Arabidopsis thaliana: one gene and its partner. The protein of the gene in region 1 purifies or fractionates together with the protein of each later gene. This does not show direct contact. Each region holds a gene or a part of one and is shown on either strand. Other genes may lie near its edges.

Evidence for each region.
Region 2: the proteins of TOC159 (region 1) and TOC75-III purify together in Arabidopsis thaliana (affinity purification with western blotting, with the first as the bait; 2 studies listed by BioGRID). This does not show direct contact.

The regions. Positions count from the first base shown.
Region 1 is NC_003075.7:1,102,902-1,110,598, forward strand, and holds the start of TOC159 (translocon at the outer envelope membrane of chloroplasts 159), read left to right. Parts: upstream 1-1,664; 5' UTR 1,665-1,864; coding exon 1,865-1,928; intron 1,929-2,011; coding exon 2,012-6,459; 3' UTR 6,460-6,798; exon of another isoform or gene 6,799-6,865; 3' UTR 6,866-6,902; exon of another isoform or gene 6,903-7,074; 3' UTR 7,075-7,236; intron 7,237-7,379; 3' UTR 7,380-7,464; exon of another isoform or gene 7,465-7,697. Other genes in the region: XT2 (UDP-xylosyltransferase 2), read left to right, coding at 70-444. UniProt on the Arabidopsis thaliana protein: GTPase involved in protein precursor import into chloroplasts. Seems to recognize chloroplast-destined precursor proteins and regulate their presentation to the translocation channel through GTP hydrolysis. Required for chloroplast biogenesis.
Region 2 is NC_003074.8:17,215,313-17,221,227, reverse strand, and holds TOC75-III (translocon at the outer envelope membrane of chloroplasts 75-III), read left to right. Parts: upstream 1-1,816; 5' UTR 1,817-1,931; coding exon 1,932-3,122; intron 3,123-3,400; coding exon 3,401-3,622; intron 3,623-3,710; coding exon 3,711-3,818; intron 3,819-3,937; coding exon 3,938-4,129; intron 4,130-4,207; coding exon 4,208-4,456; intron 4,457-4,542; coding exon 4,543-4,797; intron 4,798-4,884; coding exon 4,885-5,124; 3' UTR 5,125-5,415; downstream 5,416-5,915. Other genes in the region: AT3G46750 (low-temperature-induced protein), read right to left, coding at 1-102, 176-669, 759-1,073, 1,182-1,284; AT3G46735 (uncharacterized protein), read right to left, coding at 5,749-5,854; AT3G46730 (NB-ARC domain-containing disease resistance protein), read left to right, coding at 5,616-5,915.

The sequences.
Region 1 (7,697 bases):
AAACTCAAATCTTTGCTTGGTTTGGATTTTGTTGAGCTACTCATTTGAGCCACTGCATTGTTGTTATAGGTGTACCTAGAAAGTGGATACTATCTTCACGGTTACTGGGGGATTCTTGTGGACAGATATGAAGAAATGATAGAAAACTACCACCCGGGTCTAGGAGATCACAGATGGCCATTGGTGACTCACTTTGTCGGTTGCAAACCGTGTGGGAAATTTGGTGATTACCCGGTGGAACGGTGTCTAAAACAAATGGACAGAGCCTTTAACTTTGGAGATAACCAGATTCTGCAAATCTATGGTTTCACTCACAAATCTTTGGCTAGTCGTAAAGTCAAGAGAGTGCGGAACGAGACTAGCAATCCGTTGGAGATGAAAGACGAGCTCGGGTTGCTTCATCCGGCGTTTAAGGCGGTTAAGGTACAAACCAATCAAGTTTGAATCGGTTTTGCGTTTAGGATTTGTGTTATGTTTCTCGCTATATTTATGTCTTGTGTCTTTGCTTGTTGTTGTACTAAGATGGATGATAAAGTATTGTGCAGAGACATCAGTTAATTCTTTGGTTTTACTTTGTCTCTACGTCTAGAGTTCTATTACGAAATCAAAATGTTGTTTTTCTTCCTTTTTGTTCTTTGTAATCCATTAGAACTTGAGATTTTGTAGCTTCATGGATCAATAATCTGTGTTAATTCAAGAACTTTTTTTTAACCTGATTTCACATTCAACTAATTATTTACTTTTAGTATGCAAAATGTGAAAAAATCACATTGAGTTAGTATAGTTCTGAGATCATATTCACAAGTTTTGTGTAGTTTAGGAGTTTAATTCGAAAAACAAAATTTGGCATGTGGTCAGATTCTTTTGCAGTATGGGTTGTTGTATCTGAAATCTGAATGTCTTTAATTGATAATAAAATCATGTATACGGGCTATTATTAGGGGGAGGCCTTATAAAAGCCCATCTGAAAACTAAAATCACGGCCTAATATATGGAATCCGTGTTATACAAAAATCCAAGATAATTCGTAGATAATGGTGAGAAAATCGTTTGTGGCCAAGCAATTTCGGGTAGGGAGGATCAACAAAGATACAAAAAAGATTTCTTTCTTCTTTATAAAACCCAAATCTCAAAATGTTATCTCGTTTTTTATTTTAAATGTTTTATTTTATTTTGTTGTTGTGTGGTTTTTTTGGTTTTTAGTAAAGAGAAGATATAACAAAACCCTAATTCTCATGAGTTCAAAAACCCTAGATTTAGTGAGCCCATCAAAACATTTTCCATTGGGGAAGATTTTAACATTTGGAGAATTGTGCATAATAAAAACAAAATATTAAACAGTAAATACTTTCCAAAAAGTGACTAAAATATTCTAAATTTACTCAACAAAAATTGAAAATTCTTGACAAAAAAATTACTGTTTTTTAAAATGATACAATGTTTTTCAAATTTTAACCACAAATGATTATTGTACTTCTTCCTCAAATAAAAAAAGAAACTCTATATATTTTGGCTTGAGCCAATGAAGCGACACAGTTTAAAGCGTAGCACAAAAGAGAGCCCTCTTGGAAACTTCACCAACATAGAAGCGAGGGTAATTCGGTAATTTCATCATCATCCTCAAAACACAAACTGAGAAGATAAAATCCCAAGGCAAAGAAGAAAAACGAAGAGTCATTTTTTGTTCGCCGAGTGACCTTATCTCTCCCAATTCTCTCTTCTTCAAAAGAGAGAGAGCAGCCAAATTCTCAATCATAAAAACCTTCACACAAAAAAGGGTAAATTCCTTTAAACCCTATCTATCTATCGCTATCTCCTTCCTCCACAAGTTTGGCGGAGAAAGAGTCTCAGTAGCAAAGCGGAAATGGACTCAAAGTCGGTTACTCCAGAACCAACCAACCCCTTCTACGCTTCTTCGGGGCAATCAGGTTTTTCTTCTTTCTCGTTTATATCTTCTTTAATCTGCGTTTTTGGGAATAGGGTTTTAATCGGAAGGATATTTTGTTATCAGGAAAAACCTATGCTTCTGTTGTCGCCGCCGCTGCTGCTGCAGCCGCCGATAAGGAGGATGGTGGTGCTGTGAGTAGTGCCAAGGAGTTGGATTCCTCATCGGAGGCTGTGTCTGGTAATTCGGATAAGGTTGGAGCTGATGATTTATCTGACTCCGAGAAGGAGAAGCCGAATTTGGTGGGTGATGGGAAGGTTTCCGACGAGGTGGATGGTTCTTTAAAGGAGGATTCTACTACTCCTGAGGCTACTCCGAAGCCTGAGGTGGTTTCTGGTGAGACAATTGGTGTAGATGATGTTTCATCGTTATCTCCGAAGCCGGAGGCTGTTTCTGATGGTGTAGGGGTTGTGGAGGAGAATAAGAAGGTTAAGGAGGACGTGGAGGATATTAAAGACGATGGTGAGAGTAAGATTGAAAATGGGAGTGTTGATGTTGATGTGAAACAGGCTTCCACAGATGGGGAGAGTGAGAGTAAAGTGAAGGATGTGGAAGAAGAAGATGTTGGAACAAAAAAAGATGATGAGGGGGAGAGTGAGTTGGGTGGAAAAGTTGATGTTGACGATAAAAGTGATAATGTTATTGAAGAAGAGGGTGTGGAGTTAACTGATAAAGGAGACGTCATTGTGAACTCGTCCCCTGTAGAATCAGTGCATGTTGATGTGGCAAAACCAGGGGTGGTTGTTGTAGGAGACGCAGAGGGAAGTGAGGAGTTGAAGATTAATGCTGATGCTGAAACTCTTGAAGTGGCTAATAAGTTTGATCAAATTGGGGATGATGATAGTGGTGAATTTGAACCTGTGTCTGACAAGGCCATTGAGGAGGTAGAAGAAAAATTTACTAGCGAATCAGACTCTATTGCAGACTCCTCTAAGTTAGAATCTGTGGATACCAGTGCTGTAGAGCCAGAGGTTGTAGCTGCCGAGAGTGGGAGTGAACCAAAGGATGTGGAAAAAGCCAACGGATTGGAGAAGGGTATGACTTATGCTGAAGTAATCAAGGCAGCTAGTGCAGTAGCTGACAATGGAACCAAAGAGGAGGAGAGTGTGCTCGGTGGCATAGTCGATGATGCAGAAGAAGGTGTTAAGTTAAACAACAAAGGAGACTTTGTGGTGGACTCATCTGCTATTGAAGCTGTGAATGTAGATGTGGCAAAGCCAGGGGTTGTTGTTGTTGGAGACGTAGAGGTGAGTGAGGTGCTGGAAACTGATGGCAACATCCCTGATGTGCATAATAAGTTTGATCCAATTGGCCAAGGTGAAGGTGGTGAAGTTGAACTTGAATCCGATAAAGCCACAGAGGAGGGAGGAGGAAAGTTGGTTAGTGAAGGAGACTCTATGGTTGACTCCTCTGTGGTGGACTCTGTTGATGCTGATATCAATGTTGCAGAGCCAGGGGTTGTGGTTGTCGGGGCGGCTAAGGAGGCTGTAATTAAGGAAGATGATAAAGATGATGAGGTTGACAAGACCATCTCAAATATTGAGGAACCTGATGACCTGACTGCTGCATATGATGGAAATTTTGAATTGGCTGTTAAGGAAATATCAGAGGCTGCCAAAGTAGAGCCAGACGAACCAAAAGTAGGTGTGGAAGTAGAAGAATTGCCTGTTTCTGAAAGTTTAAAAGTGGGTTCAGTTGATGCAGAAGAGGATTCAATTCCTGCAGCTGAGTCACAGTTTGAGGTTCGGAAAGTTGTCGAAGGGGACAGTGCTGAAGAGGATGAAAACAAGCTCCCAGTCGAAGACATTGTTTCTTCTCGTGAGTTTAGCTTTGGAGGCAAGGAAGTGGACCAGGAACCTTCTGGCGAAGGTGTTACCAGGGTTGATGGGTCTGAAAGTGAAGAAGAAACTGAAGAGATGATATTTGGGAGTTCTGAAGCTGCAAAACAGTTCTTAGCAGAGTTGGAAAAGGCTTCTTCTGGTATAGAGGCACATTCTGATGAAGCAAACATTTCTAACAATATGTCAGATAGGATTGATGGCCAGATTGTCACCGATTCTGACGAGGATGTAGACACAGAGGATGAAGGTGAGGAGAAAATGTTTGATACTGCAGCTTTGGCTGCGCTTTTGAAGGCAGCCACTGGTGGTGGAAGTTCAGAAGGTGGCAATTTTACCATAACATCTCAGGATGGCACGAAGCTTTTCTCTATGGATCGACCTGCTGGTTTGAGTTCATCGTTAAGGCCCTTGAAGCCTGCAGCAGCTCCACGTGCAAACCGTTCCAACATCTTTTCCAATTCTAATGTCACAATGGCAGATGAGACTGAGATTAACTTGAGCGAGGAAGAGAAACAGAAATTAGAAAAGTTGCAAAGCCTCCGTGTGAAGTTTTTGCGGCTTTTGCAAAGGTTGGGTCATTCGGCAGAAGATTCAATTGCAGCGCAGGTTCTTTACCGTCTTGCACTACTTGCTGGGAGACAAGCAGGGCAGTTATTCAGTCTTGATGCTGCAAAGAAGAAGGCTGTGGAGTCTGAGGCTGAGGGCAACGAAGAATTGATCTTCTCCCTAAACATACTGGTCCTTGGAAAAGCCGGGGTGGGAAAAAGTGCTACTATAAATTCCATTTTGGGAAACCAGATTGCGTCCATTGATGCTTTTGGGCTCTCAACCACTTCGGTTAGAGAAATTTCTGGAACGGTGAATGGTGTCAAGATTACCTTTATTGATACTCCGGGTTTGAAGTCTGCTGCGATGGATCAAAGTACAAATGCAAAAATGTTGTCCTCTGTAAAGAAGGTAATGAAGAAGTGTCCCCCTGATATTGTACTATATGTAGATCGTCTTGACACCCAGACCAGGGACTTGAACAATTTGCCCTTGCTAAGGACGATTACTGCTTCTCTTGGTACATCCATATGGAAAAACGCTATAGTGACATTGACCCATGCGGCTTCTGCCCCTCCTGATGGCCCATCTGGCACCCCATTGAGCTATGATGTGTTTGTAGCGCAGTGCTCACATATTGTGCAACAGTCTATAGGACAGGCTGTTGGAGATCTACGCTTGATGAATCCAAGTCTGATGAATCCAGTTTCACTTGTTGAGAATCACCCCTTGTGTAGGAAGAACCGGGAGGGAGTGAAGGTTCTCCCGAATGGCCAAACTTGGAGATCTCAGCTGTTGCTATTGTGTTACTCCCTGAAGGTTTTGTCAGAAACAAATTCTCTATTGAGGCCTCAAGAACCATTGGACCATCGTAAAGTATTTGGTTTCCGAGTTAGATCCCCGCCTCTCCCTTACTTGTTGTCTTGGCTGTTGCAGTCCCGTGCACATCCTAAGCTCCCTGGAGACCAAGGTGGTGATAGTGTTGACTCTGATATCGAAATTGATGATGTGTCTGATTCTGAGCAGGAAGATGGGGAAGATGATGAGTATGACCAGCTGCCACCATTTAAGCCTCTTCGAAAAACCCAACTTGCAAAGCTCTCAAATGAACAGAGAAAGGCATATTTCGAGGAGTATGATTACCGTGTAAAGCTCCTGCAGAAGAAGCAATGGAGAGAGGAATTAAAGAGGATGAAAGAAATGAAGAAAAACGGGAAGAAGCTGGGTGAAAGTGAGTTTGGTTATCCGGGAGAAGAAGATGATCCAGAAAACGGGGCTCCAGCTGCAGTGCCAGTTCCATTACCCGATATGGTTTTGCCACCTTCATTTGATAGTGATAACTCAGCTTACCGATACCGATATCTGGAACCCACTTCACAACTCCTAACCAGGCCAGTGTTGGATACCCATGGTTGGGACCATGACTGTGGATATGACGGCGTCAATGCAGAACACAGTCTTGCTCTAGCTAGCCGGTTCCCTGCCACAGCTACTGTCCAAGTCACCAAGGACAAGAAAGAGTTCAACATTCATCTGGACTCCTCTGTGTCTGCTAAGCACGGGGAGAATGGATCCACCATGGCAGGGTTCGATATTCAGAATGTAGGCAAGCAGCTGGCATATGTGGTCAGAGGAGAAACCAAATTCAAGAATTTGAGGAAGAACAAGACAACTGTTGGAGGGTCAGTGACATTCTTGGGAGAGAACATCGCCACTGGGGTCAAACTCGAGGACCAAATAGCACTGGGGAAAAGGTTGGTGCTTGTGGGCAGCACTGGGACAATGCGATCACAGGGAGATTCGGCCTATGGTGCGAACCTCGAGGTCAGGCTTAGGGAAGCTGATTTCCCAATTGGACAGGACCAATCTTCTTTTGGGCTGTCTCTGGTAAAGTGGAGAGGCGATTTAGCCCTTGGAGCCAATCTCCAATCTCAAGTCTCTGTTGGAAGGAACTCAAAGATTGCGCTTCGTGCAGGACTTAACAACAAGATGAGCGGACAGATCACAGTCAGAACCAGCAGCTCGGATCAGTTGCAAATCGCTCTCACAGCCATTCTTCCAATTGCCATGTCCATCTACAAGAGCATTCGACCCGAAGCGACGAACGACAAGTACAGCATGTACTAAATATGCTGATGAATGCTGCAGAATGATCTTTTCTTTTATTACTGGTTTTTAGTTCATGTTTTTCCCCCACTTTAATAAAAACTTTGTTGAAGTTTATCAAAGTTGTATTTTGGTTCTGTTGAGAGGTTCCCATCGGATTTAATTTATCATGTATCAGTAATTCTTCACTTTCATTAGCCCTTCTCAGCTTCTCTTGCTGTTCTTCAGATAATGGAATCTAGTTCAGTCTTCTTTTGGTCTACGTCTCATGCTAATGATGTTGCTTGGTTTGAGTTTGCTAATTTGTTACTAAATTTCTGCAGAAGATACAAATCACTCGGTGAAGAATCTTTAAAGCAGGTGCGTAGCCTGTAACTGTTGATAAGATTTTGTACTAGAACCCTCATCTCATTGTGTTCTTCACCAGGATCTTACTGTTCTTCCTTGGTCCCTTGAAGGCAATGGTATGTTTTTTATAAAAATGCTTTGTAATAGATTTTCATTCTTATATAATATCTGGAAACTATTGGAGTATCGTGGTGAAGTAAACTTGATGATACTAGCAGACAAAACTCCGAATAAAGGATATTTCTTGGTGGACTTAATCTTTATGGTTTATGTGAATATTTGATGTAGCAAAGCCTCTAACTTAAAGGATGACCAGAGTCTGCAAATATATGGCTGGCTTTACTCGCAATTCTTTGGGTAGCCACAAAGTCATCAGAGTAATGAGACGAGCAAACAGTTGGAGATAAACACTAGGTGGACTTTCTTCACCCTGCGTTTACGGCGGTCAAGGTACAAAATTGATGGTGAAAAACACAAACTTGCTGCTCTAACCGTTTCTGTTATTTATAGAGAGGTGAATAGGTCCAGAAATCTGATGTGTTTTGTTTTGTCTGATTTGAAGCTTACGTCTATATTTTACTTGTCATTTTCAGACATGACAAAGCAAGGAAACTTTAAGGATAAGAACGTTCAAAGTCTTCTTAAGTCAACTTCTTTCGCCAGGAGAAACGTTCCAAAGTAAGATTTCCACCAGACTAAAGTCCTTACATACTATTCTCACTAGTCAGTATCTCCATAGTTAAGACATCGCAATCTTTGCATTAGTTAACTAATTGATTTATTTTAGAATAGCTTGAAGATTAGATAAATAGTTTTTGCCAAAGATACTCTCAAGAGCATACACACACACTCACATAACTGAAAGAAAACAGAGGATACAACAGAAAGAAAGTACTGAGAAATTGGGCAAT
Region 2 (5,915 bases), on another chromosome or scaffold:
ACTGATAGCTTTAGATATCACTCGAGAAAGTTCTCTATCGTCTTCGCTAGGCTCAAACTTCTGCGATATGTATTCCTTCATTGATACGCCTTTGTCCCATACCTGGTTACAAACACAAGATGATTGACTGATGTATTTACCTAAATGCACAAACAGATAGAGAACTTTGTCGTACCTTGGTATTGAAGCCAGTGGGCTGGTTAGTTCCGGCAGTGTTGATTTCTGCAACATCATTTACCTCTTCTTCTCGCTCTGTTGGTTCTGGAAAAGCCATATCTTGAATCTTCTTAGTTATAGCTTGAGTTGCGTCAGAGACTTTAGCATAACCAGGTGCTAGCTTCTCTGTCACAGTTTCTGTTACTGTCTTGCTTGGACTAATAGGTTCCTGCTGGCTCGTGCACTCTTTCCTTGTCTTCTCAGACGATTCTGTTACTATTGTTGTTGTGTCAGAATCAGCAGGCTTCTCTTGCTTGACATCAGATAAAACATTCTTCTCAGAGATCACAGGATGTTCTGTTTTGGAACCATTACAATCTTTTTGTTCTTGTTCAGCGTCCTGTTTGGCTGGGAGAACAGACAAGACATTTGTCTCAGTGATCACAGGATTCTCTCGGGGATGCTGCCTTGCTGTCTCCTTTAACTCTTCAGGTGCCTTCTTTGATTCATACACTGAAAATAACACAAGAAGATCGATCAGTTTTAAGCAAATTCCTAAAAGGGTGGTTGTTACTTATGAAGCTTTGTTCAATTTCATTTACTTGGGGCTCCAAGATATTCAGGATCTTCTTCTTCTTCTTCTCCTCCTTCTTCTCTGACTTTACGGTCTTTTGACTTGTCACGTGGTGACAATGACGCATAACCAACTTCTCTAACTTCATGATCTTCGGATCTGCAAAACGGTGACATGGTTGCATCACCTTCTTCATCATGTCTCTTCTTGGTGCTGAGACTGTGCTGCAGTTTTTTCGCCTTATCCTTCATTTTAGAGAACAAAGATTTCTTATGGTGAGAATGTTCTCCATCATTTTCTTTTCTTGGTGAACCAGAAGGTGACCGCTTTGAAGCTTCACCAGCTGAAAAAAAGTATGACAAACAGATTTCAAACCAAGAGTTTGCGTCCAAAATCATCAAATCACTGAGAGTAAACAAAATGGATATTATCATTTCTTGGAGAGACTTACATTGGTGACGCTGGCTAAGTGTTGAGAAGCTAGGATTTCCAGAATGATCAACATGTGTTTTTAAGCTTTCGAGCTCAGCGACGGGGTCTAGTTGACGCGACATTTCAGAAACACAAAGTTCTTGTAGATGTTCTGTTTAGGAACTCTGATCCTCTGAGAACAACATAAGATAGATATAAGACAAGAAAAACTGTGCATGTCGTCTTGTTTCTCCGAGGTTCTTGGACAAACCATAAGAAAAAAAAATGCTTAAAATAGTCATGGTCTCTTATTGGAGAAGCATGAAGGGAAGACAAAGTCTTGGCCTGAGAAATTGACGTTTGAAGCTGAATTATAGGACTCACATTTGTAGAGTTTTCTAGAGAAAAACTGGAACCATAAATAACAAATACACTGTTTAAAGAACTTAAGCAAAACTTGTCTCTGAACTTTAATGACCAAAATATTAAGACTATGTGAGAAAAATGTAAGAACACATTTGTCTGGATAAAATGCATAAGTTACAGAATTATCACAGACTAAACATTTTTCAAGAACCTAGTCAGAAGTTTACTCATTTGTCTCACTGAAACTGCGTGCTGTTTCTAACTAAAGTAAACGTCACGCAGTTCTATGTTAAATAAACAAAACGTAATGTAGTCTAAAAGGAAAGTCTCTCTACCTGCTTAAAACCCAAAAGTACATTTTTTCGCCGAAGCCAAAAATCTTCACTTGCTTCTTCTTCTCTCTGAAACCTTATCTTCTCCGCCCATGGCCGCCTTCTCCGTCAACGGGCAGCTTATCCCGACGGCAACAAGCTCCACTGCTTCCACCTCTCTCTCTTCCCGTCGGAAATTTCTCTCTCCTTCCTCGTCTCGTCTCCCTCGCATCTCCACTCAATCTCCTCGTGTCCCATCGATAAAATGCAGCAAAAGCTTACCTAACCGAGATACAGAGACTTCCTCAAAGGATTCTCTCCTTAAAAACCTAGCTAAACCTCTAGCCGTAGCCTCAGTCTCCTCCGCTGCTTCATTCTTTCTGTTCCGAATCTCGAATCTTCCGTCGGTTCTGACCGGTGGTGGAGGAGGAGGAGATGGGAATTTCGGTGGATTTGGTGGTGGAGGTGGTGGTGGAGATGGAAATGATGGTGGATTTTGGGGGAAATTGTTTTCTCCTTCACCAGCGGTTGCTGATGAAGAACAATCACCGGATTGGGATTCTCATGGTTTACCGGCGAATATCGTTGTGCAATTGAACAAGCTTAGTGGTTTCAAGAAGTATAAGGTATCTGATATTATGTTCTTTGATCGACGGAGACAAACCACTATTGGTACTGAAGATTCCTTCTTCGAGATGGTCTCGATTCGTCCTGGTGGAGTTTACACTAAAGCTCAATTGCAGAAGGAGCTTGAAACCCTAGCTACTTGTGGAATGTTTGAGAAAGTTGATTTGGAAGGGAAAACGAAACCTGATGGAACCCTAGGTGTTACAATCTCGTTTGCTGAGAGTACATGGCAATCTGCTGATAGGTTTAGATGTATTAACGTTGGGTTAATGGTACAGTCGAAACCTATTGAGATGGATTCAGATATGACTGATAAAGAGAAGCTTGAGTATTACAGGAGTTTGGAGAAGGATTACAAGAGGAGAATTGATAGGGCACGGCCTTGTTTGTTGCCTGCACCTGTGTATGGTGAGGTTATGCAGATGTTGAGGGATCAAGGGAAAGTGAGTGCTAGGCTGTTGCAGAGGATTAGGGACCGTGTTCAGAAATGGTATCATGATGAAGGGTATGCTTGTGCTCAAGTTGTGAATTTTGGGAATTTGAATACTAAGGAGGTTGTTTGTGAAGTTGTGGAAGGTGATATAACTCAGCTAGTTATTCAGTTTCAAGATAAGCTTGGTAATGTGGTTGAAGGAAATACTCAAGTTCCTGTGGTGCGCAGGGAATTGCCTAAGCAGGTATGTTTCTCAAGTTCTGCTATGTCAGATATGTCATTGTTGATGTGATCATGATTTAGTATAGGATGATGACGAAAGTGTAGTTATGTTATAGATTGATATGTCAGGAAAAAATTGACAGACTTTTAACTTGAACTTGCTATTTAAGTCTGATGGATGTAAGAGGTTTAATTGCTTCAATGAACTCATTGTACAAATGTTTTATATTCCAGACATGTAATGATATATCTCATTTGTTATGTTAGTTTTAGTGATAGTTTCGATGTTTCGTTGAACAGCTTCGCCAAGGCTATGTTTTCAACATTGAAGCTGGGAAAAAAGCTCTCAGTAACATCAATTCATTGGGGCTGTTCTCTAACATTGAAGTCAATCCACGCCCAGATGAGAAAAATGAAGGGGGCATTATTGTTGAGATCAAGCTTAAGGAGCTAGAACAGAAGTCAGCTGAAGTCAGTACAGAATGGAGTATTGTTCCTGGGCGTGGAGGAGCTCCCACATTGGTATGAATCCTTCCTTACTGAAATAAGTACAGATTGTAAAATTTGAGAAGTTCCATTGAGTTTGATTGTTATTGTTTATATGCATCAGGCTTCATTCCAGCCAGGTGGTTCTGTTACTTTCGAGCATCGAAACCTCCAGGGTCTTAATAGGTCTCTCATGGGTTCAGTGACCACTAGCAACTTCTTGAATCCTCAGGTACATTCGATAAGCTTACATGATTGATACATCTCTGGTTCAACTTTTCGGTTGATAACATCCATCTATTTCTGTTTCTATGTGCTAAGCACAAACCTTATGTTACATTTTTTCCTCAGGATGATCTTTCGTTTAAGCTTGAGTATGTGCACCCGTATCTGGATGGTGTTTACAATCCTCGGAACCGAACATTCAAAACAAGCTGCTTCAACAGCCGCAAACTTAGCCCAGTATTCACTGGAGGACCTGGTGTTGAGGAAGTGCCACCAATTTGGGTTGACCGAGCTGGTGTGAAAGCTAATATAACTGAGGTAAGCTTGCCAATCCTCAGTGCCATAATCGACTTATTTTGTCCTACAAACACTTAACTGAAACATATTTTCATGCAGAACTTCACCCGTCAGAGTAAGTTTACATATGGACTTGTGATGGAGGAGATAACAACCCGAGATGAAAGCAGTCACATTGCTGCAAATGGTCAGAGACTACTACCTAGCGGTGGAATCAGTGCTGATGGACCTCCAACAACTCTCAGTGGTACCGGTGTCGATCGAATGGCTTTTCTACAAGCCAACATCACCCGTGACAATACCAAATTTGTTAATGGGGCAGTTGTTGGACAGAGGACTGTCTTTCAGGTTTGCTTTCCCAATGATCAAATGAGATTATAAGGATGAGTCATCTGTATATTGTAAGCTTTACACAATGTATTTGCAAATCACAGGTTGATCAGGGATTGGGTATTGGGAGCAAATTCCCGTTCTTCAACCGCCACCAGTTAACCATGACAAAATTCATTCAGTTGCGGGAAGTAGAACAAGGGGCTGGTAAGTCACCACCACCAGTTCTAGTCCTCCATGGGCATTACGGAGGCTGCGTTGGCGACCTTCCAAGCTACGATGCTTTTGTCCTCGGTGGTCCGTACTCTGTCCGTGGCTACAACATGGGAGAGCTCGGTGCTGCTAGAAACATTGCCGAGGTAATACAGCAAACACTCAAAACAAAAACAGTCTTTTCTCCTAAACCCGAAAAATATGTGTGTCTAATTTGGTTTCATGGATTACAGGTCGGTGCTGAGATCAGAATACCCGTGAAGAACACACATGTCTACGCTTTTGTTGAGCATGGAAATGATTTAGGAAGCTCAAAGGATGTGAAGGGAAACCCTACAGCAGTGTACAGGAGAACGGGTCAGGGTTCATCCTATGGTGCAGGTGTGAAACTCGGTTTGGTCCGAGCTGAGTATGCTGTAGATCACAACAATGGAACCGGTGCTCTGTTCTTCCGATTTGGAGAGAGGTATTAAGGTAATGTGAGAAGCAGGCTCATGTTATCCACCTTAGTCTTTTCATTTTCTCTGTTGAGGATCTGCTATTTTTCTCTTTTTTCCTTTTCTTTTGTGTTTTCTTTTTTTTTTTCTACTTCTTTTTCAATAATTGTTTAATGTTAGTGTTTGATGACGTTGCTGAGTTGTGCTGAGAATCGGGAAAGAGTTTGTTCTTCGTAATATGTCTAGACTTTTGTAGGAAAATTTTGAAACTTTCAAGTTTCAAAAAATCGTATGAATAGTTGACAAATGAAAATTTATATTGGTAACACGTCTGTCTGCATCTGAGTTCTCTTTTAAAAATAACGAATAAGGGATAGTGCAATAGAATTTAATCAAATGTCAACACCAAACATCTACAAAGTCAAGTGTCAGAGGCTTTCGAAAACTTGAAATTGTTGACATTAGGAAACAAAGCATATCTTCAATCTTCTCCATATTTTGAAATCTTTCAATTTGATTCTGTTGAGATGGTAGATGCTGTCACTGGTTTCGTTTTGAATAAGATCGGCGGCTATCTCATCAATGAAGTATTGGCGTTGATGGGAGTCAAAGATGATCTAGAGGAGCTGAAGACGGAGTTGACGTGCATCCATGGTTATCTTAAGGATGTTGAAGCTCGAGAAAGAGAAGATGAGGTCTCGAAAGAGTGGACAAAACTGGTTTTAGATATCGCCTATGATATCGAGGATGTTTTGGACACCTATTTCTTGAAACTTGAAGAAAGATCACTAAGACGAGGCTTGTTGAGATTGACCAACAAAATAGGC